4 linked regions of the Tamandua tetradactyla genome follow. The protein of the gene in region 4 purifies or fractionates together with the protein of the main gene of each other region. This does not show direct contact. Links are inferred from orthologs where the notes say so. Each region holds a gene or a part of one and is shown on either strand. Other genes may lie near its edges. The genes, in order: THOC7, THOC6, THOC2 and NCBP3.

The links.
Region 1: the proteins of NCBP3 (region 4) and THOC7 purify together in Homo sapiens (co-immunoprecipitation; 3 studies listed by BioGRID and IntAct, with this or other methods). This does not show direct contact. The link is inferred for Tamandua tetradactyla from reciprocal best matches to the Homo sapiens genes NCBP3 and THOC7.
Region 2: the proteins of NCBP3 (region 4) and THOC6 purify together in Homo sapiens (co-immunoprecipitation; 3 studies listed by BioGRID and IntAct, with this or other methods). This does not show direct contact. The link is inferred for Tamandua tetradactyla from reciprocal best matches to the Homo sapiens genes NCBP3 and THOC6.
Region 3: the proteins of NCBP3 (region 4) and THOC2 purify together in Homo sapiens (co-immunoprecipitation; 3 studies listed by BioGRID and IntAct, with this or other methods). This does not show direct contact. The link is inferred for Tamandua tetradactyla from reciprocal best matches to the Homo sapiens genes NCBP3 and THOC2.

What each region holds. Positions count from the first base shown.
Region 1 is NC_135341.1:20,808,263-20,815,175, forward strand, and holds the start of THOC7 (THO complex subunit 7), read left to right. Parts: upstream 1-3,909; 5' UTR 3,910-4,053; coding exon 4,054-4,072; intron 4,073-4,100; exon of another isoform or gene 4,101-4,247; intron 4,248-6,850; exon of another isoform or gene 6,851-6,913. UniProt on the Homo sapiens protein: Component of the THO subcomplex of the TREX complex which is thought to couple mRNA transcription, processing and nuclear export, and which specifically associates with spliced mRNA and not with unspliced pre-mRNA.
Region 2 is NC_135349.1:54,444,654-54,451,486, reverse strand, and holds the start of THOC6 (THO complex subunit 6), read left to right. Parts: upstream 1-3,826; 5' UTR 3,827-4,097; coding exon 4,098-4,136; intron 4,137-5,391; coding exon 5,392-5,507; intron 5,508-5,616; coding exon 5,617-5,681; intron 5,682-5,770; coding exon 5,771-5,874; intron 5,875-5,957; coding exon 5,958-5,995; intron 5,996-6,075; coding exon 6,076-6,124; intron 6,125-6,251; coding exon 6,252-6,323; intron 6,324-6,401; coding exon 6,402-6,504; intron 6,505-6,584; coding exon 6,585-6,634; intron 6,635-6,719; coding exon 6,720-6,782; intron 6,783-6,833. Other genes in the region: TNFRSF12A (tumor necrosis factor receptor superfamily member 12A), read left to right, coding at 192-285, 1,007-1,111, 1,358-1,492, 1,577-1,632; HCFC1R1 (host cell factor C1 regulator 1), read right to left, coding at 2,642-2,777, 3,003-3,131, 3,243-3,296, 3,614-3,708. UniProt on the Homo sapiens protein: Component of the THO subcomplex of the TREX complex which is thought to couple mRNA transcription, processing and nuclear export, and which specifically associates with spliced mRNA and not with unspliced pre-mRNA.
Region 3 is NC_135353.1:41,986,734-41,994,304, reverse strand, and holds the start of THOC2 (THO complex subunit 2), read right to left. Parts: upstream 3,005-7,571; 5' UTR 2,962-3,004; coding exon 2,891-2,961; intron 1-2,890. UniProt on the Homo sapiens protein: Component of the THO subcomplex of the TREX complex which is thought to couple mRNA transcription, processing and nuclear export, and which specifically associates with spliced mRNA and not with unspliced pre-mRNA.
Region 4 is NC_135332.1:57,853,469-57,861,289, reverse strand, and holds the start of NCBP3 (nuclear cap-binding protein subunit 3), read left to right. Parts: upstream 1-4,820; 5' UTR 4,821-4,841; coding exon 4,842-5,024; intron 5,025-6,825; coding exon 6,826-6,891; intron 6,892-7,821. UniProt on the Homo sapiens protein: Associates with NCBP1/CBP80 to form an alternative cap-binding complex (CBC) which plays a key role in mRNA export. NCBP3 serves as adapter protein linking the capped RNAs (m7GpppG-capped RNA) to NCBP1/CBP80.

The sequences.
Region 1 (6,913 bases), on a different chromosome or scaffold from region 4:
CCGGACAGCAAAAAGAGAATGAAGGTGAATGAATCATTTTTTTTCAAGGCTAATTTTGGACTCAAGTTTCTGCTTATCCACTATACATCTATCTACTCTGAAATTTTAAATATAATTACACACAACCACAATACACTCAGGACAAGCTGGGCACGCCAGCTTCCCCTGCATGTGGATACCAGTCTTATCAACTGATAGACAACACTTTACCATGGGAACAAACTGGAAGGCTTTTGCACTTCTAGGACCATATGACTTGGCTGAAGACAACTTTAAAAGGCAAATACTGAAAGGGGAAAAGAAGTGTAACAAATAAGGATTCAGTGGCTGAGAATTCAAATGGAGTTGAGAGGCTACACGGGAGGTCACCCTTAAGCATGCTTCAGTTAGAAATTGGTACCTATCATAACTTGCCAACCCCCTACCAAAACCATTCCTGCTAATCCTAAAGAATACCTAGAGCATTAAATAAGATTCTACAAAGGTACCATGCACTATAGTGACTCTCAAAACCTACAGCCTCCAGATGGGTTCCTGGACCAGATGAGTCCTGAAATGCAGAGGAGCCAACCCTTTCAGAACATCAACTAGTTCCATCCCCCATACCACATTATTGACAGCCCCTTCCAACATGAAAAAGTTAGAATGTAACCCTAACAAGTACTCCTAAAGAGAGGGAGAAAGATCAGAGGTGATGGTGGGGTTTAACAAATCAGTATGAGTGCTGAATCATTATACTGATATTTCTTTTAGCCTCTAGTACCTTAGAGCAGCTAGAAATAAAAACCTAAAATTGTGGAATTGTAACCCATACCAAACTCTGAAATCTGTTCTACAACTAACTGTTGTGATGTATTTTGAAATTCATTGCTTTTATGTATATATGTTACTTAAAGAGAAGGAGTATAACAGAGAAGATAGGATTTAACAAATGAGTAGGACTGCTGAATCATACTGATATTTCTGCTGGTCTCCAGTGTCTTAGAGCAGCTAGAAGAAAAAACCCGAAAAATCGTGGAACTGTAACCCATACCAAACTTTAAAATCTGTTCTATAATTACTTGTTAAAATGTACTTGGAAATTTATTGCTTTTTTGTATATATATTTCACAATTAAAAATTTAACATGACAGGGAAAAAAAGGCAAATACTGGGCACAAAGATCTACTTTTTTTTACTTCTTTTCTTCAAAGAATGATTGTTTTAACTCCCATTTCATTTAATAAAAAGACATTTCAAACTTTTTTGGGCCTTGGACCTCCTGTAGACCCATTCTCCAGAAAAATATATATACACAAAAAGTTTTTATCCCAATTACAGGGAATTCAGGAATCCCCTGAAGCCTATTCACGAACCCCTGGGGATCCATAGATCCCAGGATAACCCTTACTCTAAAGGCACGTTACAAAAACATCTATATTGTTTTACAGGTCCAGGGTAAAGACCACATAGGTAGCTCTCTCGTCATTCTTTGTACTTTCTGACGGCAAATATTAAACCAGCACTCAAATTAACTTCCTGACTACTTTCTCACACTCTCAAAGAAACCAAGAATCTAGTGATATAAGTAGATCATGAAATCTACGGTGATACAAGTTCGAAGCGCAAATCAGTTTTGTTAATAAATTAAAATCTACTTCCATTTCGTTATCTCTGCCCAGAGAAGCCTCCCTAGAAAAGATACATTAGTATGGGATAGATCTTGAGTCCTTCCTACCTCAACATTGAGTTATGTAAAGTCGGTTAATTCATAACCGATAATATGAAAAGGCCACTTCTAAAATTTCCTAGTTGTTCCCTCACTATATATGATGTGAAGGAAGGGCAATTACAAAAGGTCTTAAATGGTCAAAACAAAGCTCTGTGTCCATACATCTATGAGTTAAGTTATGTGGCTGACAAAACAGGTAGTTAAAAATTCATAACAGTTCAAATTATGATGTGCTTCCCACTACGTGAGTCAAGAACTTTCAAGAATATTTATTTTCAGAAATACCTCAAACTTCAGTCTCTCCAATTAATCTCGTTACTTTAGAAAATTACTAACACTATTCAACAAAATTATAAGCCACAAAATGAACTTATAAATGTTTGACCAGGACTCCATCTACAAATGACTGGTTCACGAAATATTAACAGTTACAGGAAACAAGTGATATGTTCCTATAAAAACATTAAAGATTATTTTAAATCTCTAGATAATGTTTCAAAATCAGTATTATGATCAGATCAAGTAACAAGTCACTTAAAATTTAACACATTATAACACCATTTGACAATTACCTTTTCAACAATAACCATCATTAAAATGCCACTCAGGACAGACAGATAGTCAACTGACACTTCCAATTTACAGTCTGTAGTACTTAAGATTTCAAACAAGCTATTCTGTGGGTTAGCATGTCCTCTCTCCTAAAATCAAAGAACTGAACAGACTTACGCCAATTATTATTTAAAGCCAGAGGTTTCACATCCTAACGGTCAAGTTAAAACCTCAGAATCTTCACTCAATGTAATTCTTGCCTTTGTGCCAAAAGTTGAAGGCCCTAACTCTTGAGAGCATTATAAATGGCATTACTGAAGTTTCTGGCCTGAAATACATGAAAAAAATGTTACATATACTGATTTCTACCTAGAGGTAAAAGGCACTTCACTGCCATACATTTGCATTTAACGATTCTTCCTTTTCGAAAAAACTGAGGGGAAATGAAGAGTATGAATCCAACTTTAGTAAGGAAAGGAAACAGCAAAATTTATCCTGCGCCAACTGCTTCATCCTCAGATAAAGAGACAGGGAGCTTGGGAGGTAAGAATATTGGAAAATAATGATATGGCTTATTTAACATGTCAAACCTGGGTTCAAAACTCAGACATGCTTCTTGTGGTTAACTGTTCTCTATTCCACTGGAGGTCAAGAATCCGCTTTATCGGTGCCTGTTCCCTGACCGGCCTCTCTCACCAAGTAAATGTTGGAATTTACCGCAAACTCATTCAAGTTGAATCAAAGTGACTCTGGGAAGAGATGTCAGTATAATTTGCCGTGTACTCCGGAAATGTCTAACTCTACACACAAGGCAATATTTCTCATTGACACTCCCCCTACCCCTACACTTAAAACTTCCCCCTTAAGACGAGGACAGCCAGCGAGACAATTTTTTGAAAATTAAAGAAAATATAAATAAATAAATACATGCACCCTATCCAGATCACCGACGAGATTCTGGCTCTGTTGCGGAACTGCGTGCGGGTGCGGGATGGCAACCACGCAACGATCCTAGTCAGTCGGCAGAACTCCTCCGGAGGACAAGTTTCTCCGTCCTTTTTCCCAGCACCGGCCCGAGCCCAGGGAGGAAAGGGGTTGCAGCAGGGACCCGACCGCCCTACCTGGAACCCTGGGCCTTTCGTGATCTCCAGCCGCGCCCGGTGCAATCCCTACGCTTGAGACCCGCCCGGGCGTGCGTGGGCGCCAACTTCGGCGAGACCCTCGCGCCGCGCCCCCCTCGGTGCCTCGCCCAGCTCCAGCGCTCCCCGTCCCGCCGCCCTCCCCACCTCACCCCAGGAAGCGAGCGCACCCCCCGCAACAGCCTGGACGGGGTGGGGGAAGCAGGGTCCACTTCTCCCAGAATGCTAGAGGGGCCGCACCCCGACCCCAGTAGTCCCGGCGCGCCCCCGCAGCCCGGGCGGCGCCCGGACTGGCTCACCTGGCGGCTGGCTGCGGCCTCCGGAGCGGCCTCTGGGCGTGGGCCGGGAGGGGGCAGAGAGGGGGGCGGCGGGGGCTGGGACTCCAGCCGGGGCCGCCGCCGCCCGCCTGGCCTAGCCCGCACACGCGCCGGCCGCGGCAGCTCCCGGGGGGTACCGGGAGCGCGGGGAGCGCGGGTCCCGCGGCGGCGGCGGCGCGGCTCAGGCGTCGGAGCTGGCGGCCGCAGGCGCCGCCGCCTCCTCCTCCATGGCTGTTTACCCGGCTGCATTGTGGGAGTTTGACCTCCGCCGCCGCCAACCGCCGCCTCAGCTTGCGCCGCCGCCGCCGCCGCCGCCGCCGCCGCCGCGCACGCCATGGGAGCCGTGACTGACGGTGAGGCCGGTTCGCCACCACCTGGGCCCACTCCCCGGAGTCCTTCGGTCTCCGTGGCCGCTTCCGGGAGTTCTTCGGCCTCCCGGGTCGGACCCCTCGGAGACCCTGGCCTCCAGGCCTCTCCCCGGAGCCTCTCGGCCTGATCTCCCCGGAGGCGGCGCCGGGCGTGAAGAGGGTGTGCTGGGAAGGTCGTCGGGGGATAAGAGTACACATGGGGGCCGAGGAGGCTGGGAGCTGTGTGTGGGCTGGTGGTACCGGGTGGGGTCCGGGTTGAAGAAGGATGTGGTAAGGGAGCATTGACGGGGTAAGGTAGGTTCACGGAGCGCCGAAGTGGAGGGTGGAGGGAGTTGGTGAAAGGCTTGATACCACGGGTCCCGGAAGGCCTGTGGGGGGAATGGGAGGATGTGGGAGCTCCAGGGATAGGGCGGGGGCTTCTGGGCAACCTGGGAAAGAGGGGTGGGTTCCAGGTCATGGGTATTAGGGACGTCTGGATACAGAGGGTGACACGTGGAGGAAGGAGTTTTCTGGGCAGATCGGAACGGCCCCCAGACAATGGATCGCAATGAGATCTGGGAACTGCATGTGAATTTGGGGTGGAGAGGGGGAGATGGGAACATCAGCTAAAAGGGATATGTGAATGGAATATCTGGAGGGCAATCAGGGAATACTTGGGAGCTATGAGAGGCAAACAGCAGATATACAGATGAGGGCACCTACGGTAGATCAGGATAGTAAAGGATGTATGTGTGTCTTGGAGAGGGGAGGTTTGCCAGCTGAATGGATGTGGTGGGGGAGGCAGAGGCTGGGTTCGTGGACAGTTGTGAGGGCAATTTAGGAAAGTGGATCAATTTAAGACGGATCCGGGGGCCATCTACACAGGGAGAGCAGAAATAAGGTAGCACCTTGGGAAAGAGTTGAAACAGGTATGGTGGGCAACTGGGTGGAGCACTCTGGAAGGTATCTGGTTATGGTAGTCCTTTGACATGTGGGATGGGAAATCAGGGGGCCTTTTTAAGGGGACTTAGAAAGGCCCCTTCTGAAAAGTTGGGTACAGTTTAAGGGGCTAGCAATAGAAAGAAGAATGATGAACCCAAATTTGTAGACATTGTAGAGAGTGGTGGAAGTGGGGGGGGCTATGAAAGGTTCAGGAACTTCATGAGGGAGTTTCAACTTTGCTTCTTTTCACTTTCATTTATTCAGTAGATATTTATCCTGCTTGGGCTAGGCTTTAAGATTACAGCCAGAACCAAGAGGCAAGACCTTTTCCCCCTCTTAGAGGTTACATTCAAGTGGGAAAGACATGTGGAATGATTTTTTGGGGGGGAATGGGGGGAGCTGCATGGTCCAGGGATCAAACCTGGGTCTCCCACATGAGATGTGAGCATTCTAACCACTGAACTACCCATGCACCCAGACACATGGAATAATTTTTAAAGGTGGTAAATGTTACTACAGGAGAAGTACAAAATTCGGAAGTATAGAAGCATGTAACAAAAATTGCTTATCCATTCTGGAACATCAGAAAGTCCCTCTCAAAAAGTTATTCTTCATCCCACTGTTAAAGGATAAATACATGTAGTTGGGGGAAAGTGTTCCAGGTGGGGAACCACTTGTGCACAAGCCCCCAAAGTGTTGGAAGAACACCACAATTACTTGTAATGGCCAGAATTTAGAAGCCGTAAAAGTTTTTACACTGGAGTAGTGTGATCAGATTTGCATTTTGTAAAACAACACTCCACTATGAAGAATGGTGAAGGCAAGGGAAAGTGAGGAGCTAAATTAACTCTGTCCTCTCTAACATTTATATAGTATTCATTCCATGTGCCAAGCAGTGTTCTAATTATTTTTCCCACTTTACAAATGAAACTGGGACACAAAGAGGCTATAACTTGCCCAAGGTCACTGGTAGTAAGTTATAGAGCCAGGATTCAAAACTACATAGTCCAGCTCCTGAGTTCTTGCACTTCACTGTTATGTATCCTGTCTTGTAGCTACTGGCAAGAGGTCATGGGGACACAGGCCAAGATAGTCATCAAGGAAATGCAAAGAATTTACAGGTGGGACAGATATTTATGAGGTAGAAGTCAGGACTTAAGTGATCGGGTGGGTGTGAGGGGAGGAGTCAAGGATGACCCCAGTTTCTAGCTTGAGTAATTGTGTGCTTGTTAGTGTTACTTCTCTCTTGAGGTAGAGAACTGCAAAGGAGAGATAGGTTTCGTCAGACAGAAGGGGAGGGAAGATGAATTCTAGTAAACATGCTGAAGCTGTCAAGTACCCCCCACCTTCTTGGAGGCAACAGGAATCCCCCACTCTGCCACTTCCAGGTAGTCTGGCTGTGGGCACGTTAATTAACCTCTGAGCCTTAGTTTCATTTTCTGTGAATGGGGATAAAAAAAAATCTGTCTCTTAAAGTTGTTTGAGGATTAAATGCAGTAAAAACTGTAAACGGCTTTCCATGGAGTTTTATTGAACATTACTATTATTGAACAATAATAGTAATGTTCAATTAATGTTATTAAATATAAGAATTGGTTTATTTATCTCTCCTTCCACTTTCCTTTGATGAGAACTGTGCCTTCTCCGTCTCCTTGTCTGCACAGATTGCCCTCCCCTGCCTTTTCTGCCTGGTGAAATTCCATTTATTCTTCAAGACCCACCTCAGATATCCCCTCTTCTCTTTTCCAGAACCCGTTGGTTTCTTACCTACTAACTACATTACTTTATGAATATTACTATTATGAACTTCCATCCTTAATTTACTGACATGCCTTATTCCAGAAAATATTTAAAGTAGAGCACCATAATGAGGAAACATAAAAGCAACATAAATGGATGAGGAAG
Region 2 (6,833 bases), on a different chromosome or scaffold from region 4:
GCAGGCGGTGTTTGCTGATCGACTGTCTAAGCGCGGCGCGTGGGGCGGGGCGCCTGGAGCCCGGCGGGCGCGGGCGGGGCGCTGGCCGGAGACTCCGCCCCGGAAGGCGGGGGCGGGGCGGGGCGGCGGCGGCTGCGAGGCCCCGCCGGCGGGCGGCGGGAGCAGACGGCGGCGGCCGCGGGACGCGCACCATGGCTAGGTACTCGCTGCACCGGCTGCTGCGGCTCCTCGTGCTGGGACTCGGGCTCGCGCTGCTGGGTGCGGCGGCCGGGGAGCAGGCGCCAGGTATGCCGGGCGCGGGGCCGGGCTGGCGGGAGTGGGGCCCGGGATCCGGAAGCCGGGATCCGGGGCCAGGCAGGACCGGGCAGAACCCGGGGACCAGGCGGACGTGGAGGGGATCCGGGACCAGGTGATCACTAAGCACCGCGCGCCCTGGCTGGGGGAGGTTCCATCCCCGTCCCGAACTCCATCAGCAGTACCGGCCTCAGTTTCCCCGCCTGGGAGAGCGGGGGGGAGGGTTCGGTTCTGAAAGTCGGGACTCGAAGAGGAAAGTTTGGGGGCGGGATGTCTCCTGCGGAAAGGGAGCACGCCCCCGGCCTGGCGGTCCCTAGGGGGTCGGCCCGGTCCCAGTGACGAAAGAGGGGGGCGGTCGAGAGCCATGGGGGTCTGTGCGCCCCTATGCCATGTGGGGGTGCCCCCTTCCGTCCGGTGACTTCAGGGCCTAGCTATGCGGGGGGAGGGGCTGGGGTCGGGCCCAGCGCCCGGGAGTGACTCACCCGCCGCCGGGGGTGGGGGTTGTGGGGGACCTGACCCCCCCCAGCGGCCCGCGCCGCGGCTCCCCCTTCCCACTGCCGCCGTGTCCCGGTCGGGCCGTGCGGTCACCTGTGAGGAATGCGACGGGGGGAGAACGCCGGTGACTCACGTTATTCGAGCCGGCGGACCCTGACCTCAGCCCCCAGAATAGCCGCGGCCCGCCTCCAGCCTCTGACCCGCGCCCCCTCCCCAGGCGCCGCCCCCTGCTCGCGCGGCAGCTCCTGGAGCGCGGACCTCGACAAGTGCATGGACTGCGCGTCGTGTCCCGCGCGGCCGCACAGCGACTTCTGCCTGGGCTGTGAGTGGGGGGCGGGGCCGGTGACGGGGGGGTCCCCGGAGTGGGGGAGGGGTGCCGGGGAGGACGGGGCGGAGGCCTTCGGAATTGGAGGCCGAACTGACCGGGGAGAGGTGGGAGTGGGGAAGGGGCTCTGAGCAAGGAGGGGCGGCGATCGGTGAAAAGTGTGAGGTGCAGGTCGAGGGGAGGGCTGGGGCGCGAGGTGACACGGGGGGAGGGGGGCGCGGTCTGACCAGGCCCCGCCCCCAGGCGCGGCGGCCCCTCCGGCCCCCTTCCGGCTGCTGTGGCCCATCCTGGGGGGCGCCCTGAGCCTGGTGCTCGTGCTGGGGCTGCTTTCCGGCTTCCTGGTCTGGAGACGGTGCCGCAGGAGAGAGAAATTCACCAGTGAGTGTGCCCTGTCCCTCCCCGCCCGAGCCCCTGCGCCCCGCGGTCTTACCCCGTCTCACCACAGCCCCTCTTTTCTTGCAGCCCCCATCGAGGAGACCGGCGGGGAGGGCTGCCCCGGCGTGGCGTTGATCCAATGAGAGTGACACCCCTGCCAGCCCGGGCCGCGCGCGGCCATCATTCATTTCACTCATTCATTCTGGAGCCAGCCCCCACCCTACCCCCCCAATGGGGGAAGGGGCGGCCGACAGGTTGGGGGAGGTGCCACCTCTCCAAGGCCTGAGGCCGGGGGTCACTGAGGCCTTTTGAGGTGTCTGATGGCCTTGTCTTTGGCTCCAGGACAGAAAAGCTCCATCCTGGCTTACCCAGGACAGCCGACACTAAGGACCTGCAGCATTTGCACACGGGGAGGGAGCGCCCCCATCCCGTACCCTGGGGGGGCCTGGCTGGCTTGAGGGGCACATACAACACTAGGCCCACCCTACGCGGACGTATGAAGCTCCACCACGGGGTCTCAGCCGCGGGCTTAGGGACCTCTGTTCTTGACACTAGGGGCTGGCCCTCTAGGGGGGCTGGCTCTAGGACACTGCCCCCACCAGCCCCCAAGGGAGGGGAGATATTTATTCGGGGGGGGGAGCGTGTGTGCGGGGGACGATAGAATTTATTAATAAAAGAATCTTTAACTTTAAATGGGTCGGAGAGTGGAGAGTGGCATGATCCTCGGGCTGGCTCCGGCACCAGAGGGAGGCGGTGGGGGTGAGTCAGCCGGCGCGGGGGCGGGGGCGGGGCTCTGACTCAGGCATTCTCAATGCCTGAGCCCTGCCTGCCAGGGGCTGGCCGGCGGGCCCGTTTTCCAGGGATGATCTTGAGAGAAACCCCAGCATCCCGCGTGCCAGCCACCCCCACCCCTCCCCAAAGTTCTGGGCTGCCAGAATGAAGCCTTCGTTTCCTCGTTTCCTCGGTAGTCTTTATTCAGTTCTCCTGGGCCGGAAATGCCTCCTTCCCGGTTCTCCTGCCCCTCCCAGCCCAGGGCTCCACGGGGCTCCACAGGGCTCAGGGACTGTGTTGGGGGGACAATCCTGGTGCCCAGAGGCTTGGCCTGGCCTGGAGGGGGGCAAGCAAGGCTGTTGGTCCTTTCAGGGGGAGCACTCAGAACTCCATTCCGTCTCCAGAAGGGGTAGCAGGATAGTGGGGGCTGGGGGTGCCCCCCAACCTCAGCAGCCGCAGAGCTTCAGGAATCAGGTTCCCAGGATAGCGCCAGAGAAGCAGCTCAGAGCAAGGGCTCCTGAAAGAGGAAGTTACAGTGTCAGGGCATGGGGCAGAGGCTGACCTAGAAGAGCCCCCTCCCACCAAGCCCTGGTCCCCAGGGGCCTGTGGCACCTTCCAAGGAGCAGAAACAGACACAGTGATCAGCTAGGAGCTAAAAATAGCAGAATGAGGCAAGGCCTGGAGGTTGACTCTGAGGACGGGGTTTGATCCCGCACGAGGGCCAGCCTTTGGGATTGCCTACCTGAGTGGGGTCAGGGCTGGGGGAAATGTCATGGGGGGGCTGCAGTAGGGGTGGTCATTGTGCAGGCTGAGTCGAGAGAAGTGGGTGGCCATGTTCTCCTCGGACAGGAACTGCTTGCGCAGGGGCTCCCTGGGGGAAAGAACGGGGAGCACGTGGGCTGGGGTACAGGGAGGAGAGGCGGCCTGATGGCCTGAGGAGGCAGAGACCTTGCTGGGAGTGCCTCCCTGACCCAGGACTCACGGCTCCTCCTCCAGGCGCCGCTTGGTGCTCATGGGCATAGATCGGAGAGGGGAGCTGAGAAGAGAAGAGAGCCTGGTGCACCCCATCCTCCCGGCCCCATCTCGAGGAGCGGCCCACCTGAGTCTGCAGCGTCAGCCAGGAACCCCGAGCCCCATCTCTCGCCAGAGCTGACACCCAAGTCACTTCCCTCTCCCGGGCCATCCAGCAGGGAGGTCTCGGCCCTGGGTCCCCCAACTCCTTCCTCGCCTCAGCTCATGCCCAAGCCCCGCGAGCTCCCCCCGCCGCGAGTCCTTCAGCAGCCCAGCCCTGAGCCCCCAGCCAAAGCCCCGGTGCTCCCAGGCCAGGCCCGCCCCGGGCCCCCCCACACACACCTGGCATCCAGGCTCCGAGTCTCCCCCGAGGCGGCCCGCAGGTCGCGCCGGGCCCGACCAGGGGGGCCTCGCTCCAGTGGCTGCTGCAGAATCATCGGGGCTCGGGGGTTTCGCGTGCCGGGGGGGGGGGGCCGACCCTCCGAGGGCGTGGCCAACGCGAGAGGCGTGGCTTTGGGCGCGCGAGGCGGCGAGGTTCCGCGCAGGCGCGGGTGTCCGGCGGTGCGCGGCTGGCTGGCGGGCCTGCTCGGCCGGTGGGGGAGGGGGTCCGGCGTGGCGGGACTGCGGTGGGTGCCACGCGGTGCCGCGAAGCTTTCCGGCGCTCACCTCGGCTCCCGGGGCTTGGGGCGGTGCACGGCGGCCGCCTTCGCGCTGAGCGGGCAGAGGTTGGGGCGGTGGGGCGCGCGGAGAGCAGCCGCTCACGGGCACGTCCGGTCTCGGGAGGCCGCGTAGTGCTCGAGGTGCTCTGGGACTTGTAGTCTTCGAGATGGAGCGGGCCGCGCCGCACGCGGTGCCGCTCGGTCAGGTGAGGCGGGCGCGGGGCCTCCTGGGGTTTGTAGTCCAGGCCTGATTCGGACGGGGCGGGCGAGGAATCGCGTCCTGGACGGGGCTGTTTGTTGGACTGGAATTCGCACCCGGGGGTTCGGGGCGAAGAGGAACCTGTTAGTGCTGCGGAAGGGCGTGTAGAGGGGGCGCACCTAGCATGGCAGTCATGTTTGGGGGGCGAGTTAGAAGTCGGTGTGTTATTATACTGCTGCATCTCGGGTTATTTCCCTGGAACCAGAAAATAACTGCCGCAATCCATTAGTTAATAATGGCTGTATGGGGGTCATTTATTGCTTAGTGTAGATAAAATATAATGCTATGGCTTAATATACGTAAAGTCTTTGCATGATACCTAGTACCCAGTTTGCTCTCACTAATATCATTTACCTGATATTTTGCAGTTTGTTGTCTGGTCTTCTAGATGTTGAGATATCCCCAAGTGCCTTTAATCTTCTACAGAACTCCCTAGTCTTTTTGTAGTAATTTACATTTGAGAGGTGGGCAGGCAACGGTCGCTCAGTGGCAGAGTTCTCGCCTGCCATGCTGGAGACCCGGGTTCGATTCCCGGTGCCTGCCCATGCAAAAAAAAAAAAAAAGAATTGAGAGCTGCCTTTCACTGTGGTGTGAAAACATCAACACTGTATTTTTTTATTGCATTAGTGAATAGATGTTGAATTTACTTTCCATTGTGATCAAAGAATGCTTTTATTTTAGAAAACTATTAAAAAGGAATTCCTAAGCAAGCTTATTCTCTTTAGTGACCCCTTTAAACAAAGATCAAACAAAAAACCCTTCTCTCTAAACCAGTTTTTCGTCATTGTGATAAGCATATGTATATGTGTAACTAAATTATCACTCAACTATATAAAAAAATTATTTCTAACCAAAGAAAAAAAAAGTCAGTGTGTTTTCCTGTGGTGGTAACAGCCCCTTTTAAGCACTTTCTGTGTGGCAGTGTCTTATATACGTCAGCTCCTCTTATCGTGACAAAACCTCCCATGAGTCCCATTCGACACTTTTGTGGAAATCCAGAGGAGAGACAGGCTGGGGCGTGCTCAGGGTCCCACTGGGCTGCACACCTGACCCTTCCTAACTCACCTCTTGGAGCTGGCCTCCGGGCCCTCTGGGCAGGTGCCCTCTTGGAGGGTTGGGTCCCTGGAGGGCCGAGAAGCGTGGGCAGGGGGCTGCTGGGCTAGTGGAGGTCCCAGAGGGCCTCAGCCAGCTTCTGCCCACAGGTGGAAGTGTTTCAGGCCCTGCAGCGACTCCACATGACCATCTTCTCCCAAAGCGTCTCGCCCTGCGGGAAGTTCCTGGCGGCTGGCAATAATTACGGGCAGATCGCCATCTTCAGGTACCCACGACCCCTGTACCCCAGCACCTGTTCACCCTGGCATGTGGCCTTACTGGGACTGGTTCCCCACACCTCTGGCTCTCTGGGTTCCCTCCCCTCTTCCCTTCAGCTTGTCGGCTGCTTTGAGCTCAGAAGCTAAAGAGGAAAGTAAGAAGCCAGTGGTGACCTTCCAAGGTGGGTGCAGCTGCCGGCTCTGGCTTTGGGGACCCCAGGGTGGAGGGGGTAGCAGGATAGGGTCACTGAGGTTTTGCATCTCCCTCTAGCCCATGATGGGCCCATCTACAGCATGGTCTCCACTGATCGACATCTGCTCAGTGCTGGGGATGGGGAGGTAAAGGCCTGGTTTTGGGCCGAGATCCTCAAAAAGGTGAGCATGAGGCTGGGGAAGGGCTGGGGTGACCAACCCCAGAGAGGGCCTCTTAGGTCACCTGGTGTTTTCCCGCCATAAAGGGCTGCAAGGAGCTGTGGCATCGTCAGCCCCCCTACAGGTGAGCCAGGTCAATGGGGCGGGGGTGAGTGCGGGCACAAAGGTACCGCCTGTCAAAGGTGACCACTTTTCCTCTCCCAGGACCAGCCTGGAGGTGCCCGAGATCAATGCGTTGCTGCTTGTCCCCAAGGTCTGAGGCCCTTCAGCCCGCTCTGACCCTTCGCCCTGCCCTGTTCTTGGCCCCAGCTTTGATCCTTTGCCCTATCTCTGCCCTGACTTGTGATTGGCTTCCGGCCCCGCCCTGCCTTCCTCTGCAGGAGAATTCCCTCATCTTGGCTGGGGGAGACTGCCAGCTGCACACTATGGACCTTGAAACCGGGACTTTTACGGTAAGCTGGGCTCGGGGGGGGGGGGGGGGGGGGGGGGCCTCTTCCCGGGCCTGCCCTGACGTGGTCGTCTCCGGGCAGCGGGCCCTCCGGGGCCACACAGACTACATCCACTGCCTGGCGCTACGGGAGAGGAGCCCCGAGGTGCTGTCGGGTGGCGAGGATGGGGCTGTGCGGCTTTGGGGTAAGGAGGTGGCTGGGTGGAGGGAGAGATGGGGGCGCGCTGGGGTGAGGACGGCGCCTGTCACTGTTCTCTCTGCATAGACCTCCGCATGCCCAAGGAAGTGCAGACCATCGAGGTGTACAAGCATGAGGTGAGGGCACGTGTCCCGCGCCCCCCCACCCTCCCTGTCCCCAGGCACCCCCTAGGTCTTCACCCCTCGCCCCCTTCCTTCCCAGGAGTGCGCCAGACCCCACAACGGGCGCTGGATTGGGTGCCTGGCCACCGACTCCGACTGGATGGTGAGTGGGGCCCAGTGCAGCATCGGGCAGGGGGTGAGGGGACGGCTGTGG
Region 3 (7,571 bases), on a different chromosome or scaffold from region 4:
AAGGGACTGAGAAAAACCCTAGAATGAGCTGAGAATTAACATCAAGGAATTGAGAGAAACTTCTTGACCAAAAAAGGGGGAAGAGTAAAATGAGACAAAGTGTCAATGGCTGAGAGATTTCAAACAGAGTGGAGAGGTTATCCTGGAGGTTATTGTTACGCATTAAGTAGATATCACCTTGTTGTTCAAGATGTAGTGGAGAGGCTGCAGGGAATTGCCTGAAAATGTAGTGCTGTGTTCCAGTAGCCATGTTTCTTGATGATGATTGAACAATGATACAGCTTTCACAATGAGACTCTGTGAATGTGAAAACCTTGTGTCTGATGCTCCTTTTAGCTACTATATCAGCATAAGAGTAGAACATATGGAATAAAAATAAATAATAGGGGGAACAAATGTTAAAATAAATTCAGTTTGAAATGCTAGTGGTAAATGAAAGCGAGGGGTAAGGGGTATGGTATGTATAGTCTTTTTTTCTCTATTATCATTTTATTTCTTTTTCTGTTGTCTTTTTATTTCTTTTTATAAATCGATGCAAATGTACTAAGAAATGATGACTATGCAACTATGTGATGATATTAAGAATTACTGATTATATATGTAGAATGGAATGATATCTAAATGTTTTGTTTGTTAATTTTTTAATTAATAAAAGTTAAAAAAAAAACTCTTTCACTACGTTACACAACCAAGAACTTTCAATGCTCTTTAGACCATACTGATTTGCACGTACTATTAATTCAAATCACTTTCCAAAAGTCATACAATAACTATATACATGTAAGTCCTAATAACAATTTTTAAGCAACTCTAGCATGGATCACGTAAATATACATAAAGTGAATCCAAAATTGCATTTTGACTAAATATTTTGACCTCCTACATCACTTTGTTTTTCCTCAATCACTGCCAGTGAGAAGCCAAGCAGAAGGTTCTTAATTTCATGTTCTAGCCCTAATGCCCTTCATTCTAAAGTGGGAACAATAATAAAACTGTCAAAAAGAGCAGCAGGAAGGAGGAGGCTGAGTTATGTACAGAGAGCCCCTAAACAACAGAGTTGGCTTAAAAGTAAAAGAAGAAAAAAATACTGAAACGATTTATCAGTCTTTTGGCTTATTCTAATTTAATATAGGTGAAGATGATGATTTGGTTTTTGTTGACTGACCTGCACAAGGATTTGGAAAATGTCCCTAACAGTTAAAAACAAATGTTTAGCAAATGGATTTCTCTATCATTAATAACAGCAGTAAGTGCTCTAAGCATGAGCTGAAGAGGCTAGGGGAGCATCAAATATGAGAGATAGTCCCTATACTTCAAAGACCTCTCATTCATTAGACTGGAGTAACTACACATGAAAAAGTCAGAGACCTGCGTGGTACAGACTAAGTGCAAAAGCTATCTGTAGAAGTTTAAGTATCTATAGGTTGCAACAATATATTAACTGTTAAGACCCATCACATTAACACTTACTATATGCTAAGGGTTTTACAGGCATTATTCAGTCTTCACAACAATCCTTTGAGTAGGGTACTGTAACTCCCAATTTACTCAAGAAGAAACTTAAAAGTGGTTAAGGAACTTACCCAAGGTCACTCAGCTAGTTAAGTTACAAAGGCTGCTTACTCAGGAAATCCATTTCTAAAGCTCATGCTGTTAAGACTCCGCAAAGCAGTGCGGGGGGGGGGGGGGGGGGGGGGTAGTATACAGGCTGGCAATATTAGCGCGTAAGATCGAGCAACGTGTTCCTCGCGTTTCGTTCCAAGAAATAAAGTTCCAAAGATTCTTATCTTTTGACCAGCAACGGTAAACTGGCTAATGGAAGAGGGTGGAGACAACCACAACAAAAATGGCTAACAAGTTAATTCCACACGGGATTGAGGTATACCTTTTAAGAGATTCAGTGAAGGAAATTAAAACGAAGTTATTTTTCTTTAAATCTGAGGTTTGTTTTGCTGTTTAAACTATTTTTCTTTCCGAGAGAGCGAGCAAGAAAGAGAGAGACGGGGAGAAAGGGAGAAAGCGCGAGCTGAAAATGTGGGTGAGGACGCAATGGGTATAGTCAATTTTTGTTTTCCGTCTTACTGGGGGGAGAATTAAGTTTTATGACTCAAGGAAAAGCGATATCCTAGGTACTGGAGAAGTGTAGAGAGTTGCCAAAATTAATTGCAGTCCCAGGACAAAATGGGGTTTAAGAAACGTTTAATGACGAAAGTTGAATCCAACCCGAAAAGGCTCTAAGGTGAAAAGACGGAGCAAAGAAATGTCAGTAGGTCTTCAAGGAAAGCGGCAGTCCAGGGCCACGGGAGGCCGGGACAGTCCGGGAGACCGCTCCCCGGGAGGACGAGAAGTGCCAAGCAGGGCTCTTCGCGAAGCCTGGGGTTTCGCGGCGGCGAACGGAGAAGAGGGGAGGGAGTCCGGGACGTTTCGCCCTCCTCGGACTTCGGGCAGAGGAGGCTCCGGGCTCCAAACTGCGGAGTCGAACGGAGGCAGAGTGAAGAAATGGGACAGAAAGAGCTGAAAAGTCTGAACCCCAGCACCCCACCCCCGGTAAAGAGAAAGGAGCCAAGTGAGCTCAGGCAAAGAGGGGGACAAAAAAAGACCGGGCAGGAGCGCCGGGACCCGCAGGGGCGAAATGGAGTCCTGCGAAGAGGCCAAAGGAAGCCAGCCTACAGCGAGAAGCGGGGATTTCGTGGAGGCCAGGGAAAGAAGGAGGTCGGCGGCGGTTGAGAGCACCTCTCCTCCCCGAGTTCGAAACTCCTAGTTAACCATCCACACCCGCCGCCCGGGTGGGGGAGGGGGCGCATCTTCCTCCCCAACTGCCGCAGAAGAGAGCAAGGCTGCTGCCTGAACCCGGCCCGACCAAGCACTCGCCTCCAACCCGGACACTCACAATTCGCCTCTCCCTGATTTCTCCCAGTTCTTTATCCACTCTGCGGGAACGACCACAGTTGCCGTCGCCATCTTCCCTTCGCTAATAGCGGAGGCCCGGATGTGTAGCACGCGCGCGACGGGTCAAAGGGGAGTACCGCCCACGAGGAATGCCGGAAGCTGGGACTTAGGTTTTCTATTTCCCGCCCCACCTTTCTCCCCACCCGGCAGTAACCGTCCCGGCCGCTAACCAAATGGCCGAACCCAGTGGGCCTCTTTGCAAAGTGCTCACGCCGGCTGCGCTCTTCGCAACCCTTGCAGTCGCTTCCGTTTAGATCAGAAAAATGCCATCCCCCAGTCGACTCGTAGCCCTTCTCTTCTGGAATAGCTACAACTGACCAGTAATTCACTAATATTTGCTAGACACTGGGGACAGAGAATTAAGCCATGATGCCTACCCTCAAGGAGCTCACAGTTTGTGACATAGACAGACATACAAGCAGATGAATTACCATACCCCTGCTGGGATAAAAGAAACAAACTAATTGGGGAGGCATTTGCTATGTGCCAGACATGCTAATATAAAAGTTACAATCTAGTGTAGAAAAGAGAATCGGCCCTGGGAAGCACAGTAGGCTTTGAGTTCTGACATCCTGTTTACTGCTATCATTTGTACCTTAGACAAAACTAGGGGGCGCAAGTAGGATGAGAAACAAATTATTTACATTACATAATCCAAGATACTTATTACTTCAAAGGGCGAAACAGAAACTTTTCAGTGGGAAAACATTGCGGACACTTCCTAATCATATGATGAAAGCATCCCCAGAAATGAGACAAAACTACATCATGTGTCTCCTGATGAGCTGCTAGCAAAAACACTAGTTAATTTTGCAGTGTTCAGGCCAGCAATTTGCATAATATGACTCTTAATCAGGAAGAAAAACATCTGAAAAGTCCAAATTGAAGGAAAGTTTACAAAGTAACTGACTTGCACTCTTGAGAACTGTCAAAGAAAAAGACTAATATAAATTATAATGGTTTATATAATCATTAAAATTTAAAGTCGAAATTTTAAGATTAAAAATCTAAGATAAAATATTATATATTAATAATTATATCCATTATGTAAATTTATGTAATTGCCTATTTATTTCCAAATAAAAAGGTTTTAAAAATGTGTTTATTTTACAATAAAAAGTTAAAAAACAGTTTAGCAGAAAATTTAGAAATTAGAGACAAACCAAAAGAAGGAATCCTACACACATATATTACTGAAAGGACTTTAGAACTAGTATCTTTGTTACTGAAAGAACTTTAGAACTAGTGTCTTCTAAATTTGGCAAGTTTTGCCAAATGGACCAGGTTTGTTTGCATTGAAAAACTGTTCAGAGGATAGGTTGATTTCAGAATGGGTTCTGGGAAAATGCTAACATGTTGAATCATTGTTTTCACCAGCAATACCTAGTGTCACAATATCTTGTCTGGCTTTGAAATTTTAAAGCCATCCACTGGAAAATATACACCATTCTGTTTCAGTGACATTTGCTCATAAAAACAATTGCCATTTCTATGAGTGTCAGAGATACGAGTGCCCTCTGATCTTTTCACTTTTCATTATCATTGAAATTTTGAAATACATACAAAGTAAACGGAATGGTATAGTGAACCCACATGTACCATCACCCTCTGTAGGAAATTTTTAAATCATTACAGTGTAAGTTCTGTGATAAAATGAACACTTTTACTCTTTATGTATAATTCACTGTATGATTTACAGCAGAGTTTCTCAAATGGGGCACTAATGACATTATGGGACAGATAATTCTTTGCGTGGAAGGAGGTGAAGGTATCCTGTGCATTGTAGGCTGTTTAACAGTATCCCTGGCCTCTATCCCAAGATTCAGTAGTTCGTGCACACACATACACACATGCACAAACACACCTGCTGCCACCAGCACCAGTTGTTACCACAACAGTGTCTCCAGACATAGTCAAATCTCTCCTGGAAGGCGAAATCAACTGCTGTTGAGATTCACTGAGCTACAGTTTTCTGTTCTATTGTAGCCTCCCTTGCTACTGTATCACAATGATTTCTCCTTCTTACTACTGAACAGTGCAGTATGCATACTTCTCGGTATACCAGGAATGTGCTATGATCTGAGTGCAATGATACCCTTGGAAGCTTTTTAAACATCCCAGCCTTGGTTTTCCCTTCTCCCAGAAACTGCAGAACTATTTTTACATAGCATCATGATTCCATTAGAAATTCCTCAGAGCTAATTGGCTTTTTGCTCTATAACATTGCAAAACTATCATGTCTTTTGCATTCTTGTTTTTGGTTTGGCTATTCTTTGTTGTCAGTACCTGGTATTGTCTCAACAGCTGGGAGTACTGTTCTCTGGTGATCTCACTGGCTCATAAGTAGCAGTGTACTAGGCAGGGACTAAGATCTGGGGTGCTGACTCGGGATTGGGTAATCTCAATGTTGACAGTCTAATGCATGGAGTCATAGGTTAGTTTTAGGTAATTGTAAGGCTAAGCAATCTTGTTATTCATCATCTCAGTGAAAACAGATAATGGGACCAAGAAGGAGGCGTATAAAAGCAAAACAAGAAAAAACAATTAAAATGATAGAAGAATGAACGCAAAAGGTTTTCCAAGATCCCAAATGAAGAAAAGTTCTTTGAATAAGCTACTTGATAACTTCTGCATTTTATGCTAAGGCTGTTTATTCCAAACCAATCTACTTGGTTCCATTCTGGCTGAACTGCCCCTCTGTAGAGAAAAATGCCCTTTCATTATTTGTGTCATGTGCTAGAGATAGGTCTTCAAGTTCAAACTGGAATTCCAAAGAGGAGGTGGGGGGGGCATCAGAGGGGGTAATCCAGAAGTAGCAGCTTGTCAAAGTCACGGGGCAGAAATGACCAGTTTGGTAACTGGGATGTGTTAGTACTACCTGTTGGCTAGGTAAGAACAACACCTCATTTATAAGGACTCTCATTGCCTCCTCTTAGCTTTTCATTGGTGTTCTCCTTTCCAATTGATTTTCCTATTTTCTCCCACTTCAAACCCAAGCATTCCAGAGCCCACGTTCTTAACTCTGCATTGTCTGGGTTTGAACCCAGGTTCTGTTACTTATTAACTTCTCTATGCTTGGTTTTATCCTTTGTCAAATGAAGTTAATAGTATCTGTTGAGATTGGAGTCACCCAATGACTCACACTCGTCTTACTTGCCCAAGTTCTAAACCAACATCTGCTCTCTTCCCAAGATGAAATACAAAGGTAGGTGCCAGGCTACACATACCCAGTCTCTTCTTCCATGAGGACCCATGAAGTAAGTCACACTTCCTGAAGGAGGGAAGTAGAAGTAAGAGTGGAGAAATTAAGGAGGCAGAGAGCGAAGGGAGGCAGAAGTGAAGGGAGGCAGAGAGTGAAGGGAGCAGGGATCACAACCCTACTGAAAAGGAAACATCAGAAGTGGGGAAGGATAGTTCCCCTTTAACTGTACCTTTTCCATAGGGCTGTTGTGAGAATAAATGAGATAATATGTGGTAATGCATCCTTAGAAGAGCCCCCAGCACACAGTTAAAGCTCAATAAATATTAGCTATTATTATTTGCATGATCATAGCAGGCCCATCTAGTGGGATGCTAGGCAGTGGTATATGAACCATAGTTAAATATGGCCTTTCTCTATGTGTACTATGCCCAGATTGTTGGTTAGATTCTGTGCTTAGGCCCTTGATTGGATAAGGGACAGTCTGATGGTGTGCTAAGCCCTATCTTAGGTCTGGTTCCACAGAAGCAGACCCTGAAATGAGGACTTGCATGCTTCCAGTAGAAAAGACAGGTAAGGAACTGGGGAAAACAGTATAGGGAAGTGATGAAGCCAAGCAAGGGTATGCTTGTAAATGAAGTTACAAGCTCTGCCTAATCCCACGAAGAAAACTGAAGCATAAATTACTCAAAATTTGTCTAGCTTGAGCAAGAAAGTTAGGCTTTCATACTCTTGCACCTGTCTGTCAGTGAATACAGACTACTGCGGGAGAAACATAAACTCCTAGGCACTTCCAGGTGTCCACACATTTATGGCAAGAAGTGGCTCTAGTAACTTAAGGACAGTCCACTGAAAAAGGTTGAAGTTGATAGCCTTTAAAATAAAATCATACAGACTAGGAGTTGCGCACAGAGAACTGGTAAGGGGATCTGAATCGAGCCCTATGCATAGGCAGTAGGTTGTCTGCTAGTAGGGTTGGTGATAGAGAGGATATGTTCTTGGTTTTGTTAAGACCTGCCCTGGCCTCTGGCCTCTTTTCTTGCAAGAACACCCACATGCCTTCTTGCATGTGTACTTAAATTTTCTACCTGCTTGCTAGATCTGTGCTGTGCCCCTAAAATTCTTTCTTTTGGCACACCCAAGAACCTATGAATTCAACACCGGCAAGATCTTTGGGCAAGCCAGCCAGGAAACACTTCTCCTCTCTGACCATCTAGACTAGTGAGTCATGGCTATTGACCAGAAGGCTTGGCCATGTGTTTTCACCTTCGTTCTTGCTTGCTTCATTGTTATCCTCTCCTATGTCCTCATGCAACTCTGTATATCTAGAAATCTGGGGACTCTGACCCAACTCCCCCAGGACATAATCTCGGTCTTCTCTGAGTTCTCCAGCTTCCTCTTTGGAGGCAGTAGGAGTCTGTCT
Region 4 (7,821 bases):
TCCTGTGTGATTGGTATTTGTCCATCTGTGGAGGCTTCAGCTGGGTGAAGCTGGAGACCAGGTAGGGGACCAGGCCATTGGCTGCCGAGCCTGGCGATTAGTTATCCCATCACAGATGGAGACCAAAGCTGCTCCTGCCTGCTTCCCGGTCGTCCTGCGCAGGTCCCACGAGAGGTTGCCCAGGCTTTCTCCTGGAGAAGGACTGGTGGCCAGGCAGCAGTTCCCTAAACACCAGAGCCAAAAAGTGGGTCTCTTTCCTTCTTTGGCCTCTCAGTTTAAGACCACACCGTCTCTCACATCCTCCTGGTCTCCTGGCCTCTGTCCTGATTCCTTCTGATCCATCCTTTACCAGCTCCAGAGTGATCTTTCTGAAACACCCATCTGACCATGCAGCCCCCACCCCCACCCTCCACCCCAAGCCCCCCATGTGCTCCCCTGGGTCCTCAGCTTGGGTTCTGAGGCCCCTGCCATCTGGCTCCTCCAGCCTCTCGATGCCTCAGGGTTCGTGCTTCACCCACCCACACTCCATTCACTCTCCAGGCCTTTTCAGGCCCTCCATTCCTCCAGCACACTGCCTCCCCCCATCCCCACCTTCCCCCGTTCCTGCCTCTGTTTGTCCAAGCCTTCCCTTCCAAGGCCCGTTCTGCAGTTGTACAAATCCCTAGCATGGTTCACTGAAGCAGTCACCAAACTGTTGGGTCAACAGGCCAGATCGACATGCTTCAGGGCTTTGAAGAGGACCATGGGCCTTCAGTGACCCAGAACCTTCTGTTGATAGTCATTTCCCACTGGGACCCCCACCCAAGAAGCCGCATTGTGGTGGGGAAACTGAGGCCTGTAGAGCAGAGTCACACAGCGAGCCAGGGAAGGGCCGGCTAGAGCCCAGGTCCCCTGCCCACTCGTGTCTTCCCACCATAGCTCCACTCCAGTAAAACTGTGGACCCGACATAAAAGGAAGGACTCCTGGGAAATCAGAGCCGAGATGCACCTCCAGATGTGCCCACATAAGGGAGCCAAACCCAGCTCCACGGGTGCCCAGCAAAGGCTTGGGGGAAAGTGTGGGGTGTGACCTGGAAGGTCCTGGTTTCTCTCAGCGTCTCTGGGCTCTGGGTCCCATGGGCCCTTTGGGATCTCTGTTCTCGGCCACTTTCCCCACCTCCCACCTCCATCATCGTATGTGGTCTCAGCCTAGGGGAGGCGGGGGGTGGTCCAGGCCACTGAGGGTTCCAGCTTTCCCAGGCGATACCCAGACACAGAGTGGGACACATACAAACACCCTCAGATCCTGGAGTCACCCCCACCACACCCAGGTGGGCACACGTGCAGGAGCTCCTCCCCGGGGTAGACACAAGCAGGCCTGTCTGCAGGGCTGCCCTCTGCGGGCGGGTGGTACTGGGCCCTGTGGGTCCGCCGGAGCCTGGGAAGACACCAAGGGGGTCTCACCTGGGGAGCAGAGCCCTGGTGTGTGCGGATTCCTCCACCGCTCCAGCTTCCAGCAGGACCAGACCTCTGAGGCCCCCAGGCCACTCCGTTCCAGGCTTAAAAGCCACCCCCCCTCCACTCTCCAGTCTCCCACCAACAGCAGCCCCTGCTCACACTGAAGAGGCGCCAGGATGAGTCCTAAGGGACTGTTACTTTGGGGGAGGAGGAAGAACCCCTCAACAGCGCCAGAGCTGGAGCGGCTTGAGGAAAGAGGAAAACCAGGTCATTGTGTGTGTGGTTTTAAGAACCAGGGAATGGCCACCAGTGACCGTGGTGCCCAGTGGCCCACGGAGGTGAGGGAAATGTGGAAAGTGAGCGAAGACAGTCATTTCAAGAGTTTGTGGCAGGGATGGGGGGCACGGATACAGCTCAGCCCCCAGGGTTAGCTGCTTCCCCATCTTTATCTGCCATCCTGCACGTGTTCCCAGGATCTTAGATGTGAACTGGAGGGTGGGAGGTGGGATTGTGTGTTGCAGGTTGAAAACCGCATTGTAGACCATCTCTGCCTTCGTGGGCAGTGAAACCCACTTCCAGTCTTCATACGGCATCCATTGTCACCTTTGGAGCTTATATTACCTTTTAATGGCTTCTCCCTTTCTTACCTCAGGAATGGCAGGGTTCAGTTGATTTTATTTCCTTCCTCTCTGGATGGGGAGAGAGAGAGTGGTCAATTTCATTTTTTTTTAAAAAGTAATCTTTCTGAAGGCCCAGCTGATACCCTTCCCCTTCCCCCAACTTTATAACAACTTTGTGCCTCATTCATCAAGCAAAATTAGGTCTCTGAAGGGCTTCATCCTGTGTTTACCCTACGGCTTAGCCCAAATTTGAGAAGCACCCCTTCTATGGATCTATATCTACATGCAATTACCACATTTAATCCTCACACTCTCCATTGGAGGTAGATAATACTGTCCCCTTTTGCCAAGGAAGGAACTGAGTCTCCAAGGTCACACGTGGGCAAGCCTCCCCTTCACAAACTTCTCAGAAAAGTTGTCTGTTTTTCTCGCCTGCCTTCCCCTTCATGGGCATTGTCCGCTCCTGGTAACCTGTGGACAACAGACCACTGGACTCAAGCCAAGTTCCGTTGTGAACTTGAGGTGGCCTTGACATTGATGGCTCTGGTTTTTTTTGAACCCTCTCTCCAGTCTACCCCAATGTCCCACTCTCCTGGTTTCTTCTGCTTATAAAAATCATCCAAACTTTGGAATAGGAAAAAGGATTTCTGGATGTCCTCTCATTGTAGTGCTGAGTGTTTTCTGACATGCCTATTCCATGTGGGGATTATCTGATTTTCCAGGGATGAGTCCCTTCTTTGACTTCCTATTTGCTGTGATTAGGGCATTTTTACAACTCCCTAAGGGTAGAGGTTAATTTATAGAAAATTCATAGCAAGTGATGTAAATGTTTCCGTCTGGTAAAAAAAGGAACCTAGTAGGGCATTAATCTGTCTTGTTAAATTCACTTTGGCATTCTTTTGACCAGCTCCATAAATATCCAGTGCTCAAATTCTCTTTCGAGCTAGTCTTAATATCTCACTAGTGAGCTGAATACAAGCTTTGACATACGTTCATTTTATATTTGTATGAGAGTCATATTTTTAACTTTTTGAAAATTATTCTTTACCACCTCCTAATTCTCCACGGCCACACCTCAGCAGGCTGCACTGAGAGCAGGAGGGATGGGGGTGGGGTGGGGGAGTGGATGTTGTGGTTAGGTGACCAAAAAGGGAAAGGCACAAAGACCTTTCCCGAGGGGCGCTTTAGGAGCCCTGCTGTTTGATTGCCTGATGCCCGGGTTTGTCCTGGATTCTTGATTTACTTGCCTACTAGAGCTCCCCCTGGGGGCCAAACTGCACTGTGCCAGTGCCAGATTCCTCACTGAATTGAATTCTCAAGCAGCCAGGCTTTTCCAGCAGGGAGAGGGACCAGCCCCGCCTTCTCTGCTGGCCTCCTGGTGTCCATAGCTGAAGAGAGATTGTCCCTCCTCTTCTCGCCCCCAGCAGCCTAGAATGCAAATGTAAAGGTGGCCCCATAACTGTCAAACAATGCTGATCACCCCAAGCACAAATTTTCTTTGAACTGTTCTTTAAAATTCACACAAATTTTGCATTCTATCCATTTCATGCCTTTAGATTCAACCCAACTTTCTAACGACTTTGTGTCTCATTCAACAAGCAAAATTAGGTCTCTGAGAAGCTCCATTCTATGTTTGTCCCATGGCTTAGCCCAAAGTTAAGAAAGACCAAATTTAAGAAGCACCCCTTCTGTTGGATCTGTATCTATGTATAATTATCACATTTAATCCTCACAATCTCTGTTGGAGGTGGATAATACTGTCCCCTTTTACCCAGGAAGGAACTGGGTTTCCAAAGGATTGAGTGGCTTGCCCAAGGTCACACATGGTGTGAGGGGCAGAGCCAGTCAGCCCCAACCCAGCTGTGACTGGTGCTGATCACAAGTGCCCTTGATTTAGAATTATTTGTTCCTCCAAGATCAGAGAGGGAAGGGCCCGGAGACCCTAGGGTGCTCACTTACTCTCTCCTCAGATGGGAAAACATGCCCAGAAACTGGCTGGAACCTTCCCAAGCAAGGAAGTTGCAAAGCCGGTATCCAAAGCAAAAAATCAGTGGCGCTGACTGGAAGCCTAGAGAATACCCCCTCCTGCAACCCGGCTCTTTTTAGAAATGTGTGCACGGAAACTACGCTCAGAGGTGTGCAGTAAGTACATCAAGCCCTCAGGAGTCAGGCAATTGAGGTTCAAGCTCTGGCCTTTGGCTAGGCCACTACCTTCATGGAGTCTTAACTTTTGTGTATGTAAAACGGGCTAATTTCGGGGAGACTTGAAAGAGACAAAGGTGGGCAAGGCATATATGGATTGCACAGTGGGGATGGAACAAATGTCATTTTAGGCTCTGCAGCCACACTACCTAGGCCCCGATCCAGGTTTTACCCTCTAATAACCTGTCAGGAAATGGCTATTTTCTATGCCTCGGTTTCCTCACATGTGAAATGGGGATAATAATAGGACCTACTTTGTAGGGTTGTTGTAAAGATTCAAGCGCTTAGAACAATGTCAGGCACAAAGTGACCACTCAGTAAAGTTAGCTTTTAAAAAATCCCAGACTACGAGTCTTCAGGCCCCGCCCCCTCAGCAGGTCCTGCTCCCTCCTCACCAGGTCCCGCCCCAGCCTGCCCCAGGTTCCTCCCACCACCAGGTAGCGACCGCGCTGAGGGCCGGCCTCTGGACGAAGCAAGTGACACTCTAGGTAGCGGCGGTGGCTCCTCTGTGGCCGGTGGTGGCGGCGCTCTAGCCGGCGGTTGTGCTGGGCGGGTGCTCAGTGGTGCGGCCGGCGGGCGGCGATGGCGGCCGTACGGGGCCTGCGAGTGTCGGTGAAGGCTGAGGCCCCGGTGGCGCCGGCTCTGGGGCTGCCGTCGCCTGAGGCCGAGCCCGATTTGGAGCGTGGAGAGCCGGAGCCCATGGAGGTGGAGGAGGGCGAACTGGAGATCGTGCCGGTGCGGCGCTCGCTGAAGGAACTGATCCCGGTACCGGCGGGGGGCGGGGGTCGAGGGGGAGGTCGCAGAGGGAATGGTGGCGCCCGAGGGGGCCGGAAGGGGAGGCGGCCGGCTCCCGGGCGGAGAGAAGCCGAGGGAGGGGAAGCGAGGAGAGCGAGCGCCGGGGGGGAGGGGCAGGGGCGCCAGGTTTGAGGGGAGTGGGGGCGCTAGAGAAAGGACTCCAGTGCGGCCGGAAATGGGTGTTGGGGGGCTGGAGGAGGTGGGACAGAGCTAGGGAGTTGTTGTGGACACCCCCTTAGCTACCTCTCCGAGCCAACGAGTAGGAGCTGGAATTGTCTGTGGGAGCTTCAGATTAATGGGGACCCCGGGGCGAGAACAGAACCTGGAGCGGCCCAGAAGGGACTTTTGGGTGGCACCGACATTCAGGTCTCCCCGTGGGTCCTGGCTCTGGTGTAGTTAAAAATGGCACTCTGTCTCTCTCTTGGGAGGGTTGGATTTGTCAGCAGCAGAGACTCACTGTGTTTTCTATTGTGACTTGAGGGTCATTTTGCCTCAGGGCAGTTCCACTGCTGTGTAGAACCCACACCGCAGCCCCAGCATCTGATCCTTAATGAAACTGAAGTATCGGGACCATTAGTGCTCTTTGGATCCTTTTTATCTCATGGGGATAGTGAGAAAGGTGTTTTGCTTGTGGTTTGGTAGTTATATGCCCGGTTCTTACTGCTGGTCTTAGCTCTGGGTGGCTCTTACCCAGTACTTGATTTCTAAGCTAACAGGAGCTACTTTTAATCACATTTCAGCAAGTCTTGCTTTTAAACTGAAGTTATGGAAAAAAGTCAAGATGGAATCACTAGAGATAAACACTAGGGCTTATAGGGTAACTACAATTAACATAATAGCATTTTGCTTTTCACTACATTGTATCGTTTAAATTTCCCTGTAGTTGTGAAGTAGGTTTTAGCATCCCTTCAGTCATTCAATTCACCTGTGTATTTATTGCATTCTCAACTATGTGCTAGGCACTGTCCTAGGTGCCTGGTCAAGATCAAACTCCCTCCTGATTGGGGAATACACATAATAAACAAGTAAACAAATAATTTCTGATAATGGTAGGTGCTGTGAAGAAAATAAATCATGATAGGGTGGTGCAGCTGTGGCTCAGTGGCAGAATTCTCGCCTGCTATGCTGGAGACCTGGGTTCGATTCCCAGAGCCTGCCCATACCAAAAAAAGAAAAAAAATAAAAGGAAATAAATCATGATAATGGGATAGAGAGTGCAGGGGTTGAGGGTGGGGTGTGGAAAGTGGGAAGTAGAATATGATAAGATGGTCAGGGAAGCACTCTGAGATAGTGACAATAAACTGTACTGTAAATGAACCAGCCATGTACAGATTTGGAAGGGAGCATTTCTGGGCAAGGAATGAGGGGCATCAAGTGCAAAGGTTTTGAGATGGGAACAAGGTTGCTTTGTTGGAGAAATGGAAACTTCTGTGGTACAAATGGGAGAGTAGAAACACCTTAGGAAGATAGGCAGATACCATGGAGGAAATCGAGGCCCAGACAGGTCAAAAGAATGATACAATGTCAGTGTCAGTTGATGGAGTTACTTAAAGTTTTGGATAAGCTCTGATCTAGAAAGAACGCTTTAGAGTGGTTGATTACTAACCTTGATGTCACAGGGACAGGCTTCCTCATAAGGGGATGTCTGGGGTTGGGGAGGGGTTGCTGGAAAGAATGACTATCTGAAAGGAATCTGTTGTTTGGCATTCTTTTATCATGGGTATTTTTCTCAGTTGCTGTCAGCGTTTCTTACCCTTCTCTTTTGTATTAGGACACAAGTAGAAGATACGAAAACAAGGCTGGCAGCTTCATCACCGGAATCGATGTTACCTCTAAGGTAAGACAGAACATGATTTATTTATTCAGTTTGATAAGTGAGTGTACTTGAACTTGATTCTTAGGACATGCAGAGCAGTAATTATTCTTTACCTCATTTTTTGTGTGTTATTGGATTAATTTTTTTTAAATTTGTGTTACACACCGTGGCCCTTTTACAGCCTGCACACCTCCAGCGTTATTTGTGTTATCATACCCACAAAAAGATAAAACCACTATAGCTAGATGCTTGTGCATAACCATTTCGAAGAAAAAGTTCTGCACTGGGAATGCTTTTTTATGCCATGTTCTTTCTTTAAGAATGTATTCTGTTTCCATTTTAAATAAAACAAAACATGAAAAGTGTCTGCCTTTGTTGTCGACCCTTAGTAAATGTCTTTATTCATCACTGGCTGCAGGCTTAGAAAGATGGGCTTCATGATTGTGTGACTGTCTAACCTTAGATTCTGAGGGTATTCTCAAAATAACTATAAGTATTGCCTTTTATTGGTGTTTGCTGTAAACTAAATTACCAGCAGCTCAGAGAGACAAACCTGTTATTTTCCTTATCATAAACGGTAGATACCTATTTGTTGCTTTGATCAGTCGTATTCAGCTTAGCCATTTTTTCTGTTTTGATGTGTGCAATTGAGGTAGGAACAGAATCAGAATAGCATTCTGAATAATAGTACTGTATTGCTATACGCTATGCATAAAAGCAAAAATAAAAATTAAATATGTCATGCTTATCTACTTATATTTCATCCCAGTCTCAATCAGTCTCGGATTGCTTAAAGGCCAAAAAAAGAGCAAGCAGAAAGTAGAATAAAGTGAAAATGTTTTCTCATTGTCATGGAAAAAGAAGACTGTACTGTTTTTAATTCTGTACAGTTTGTCATTGTATGGGAAAAGATTGGTAGCTCGAGTTGGTGCTTAAGTCTACCAAAGGAAG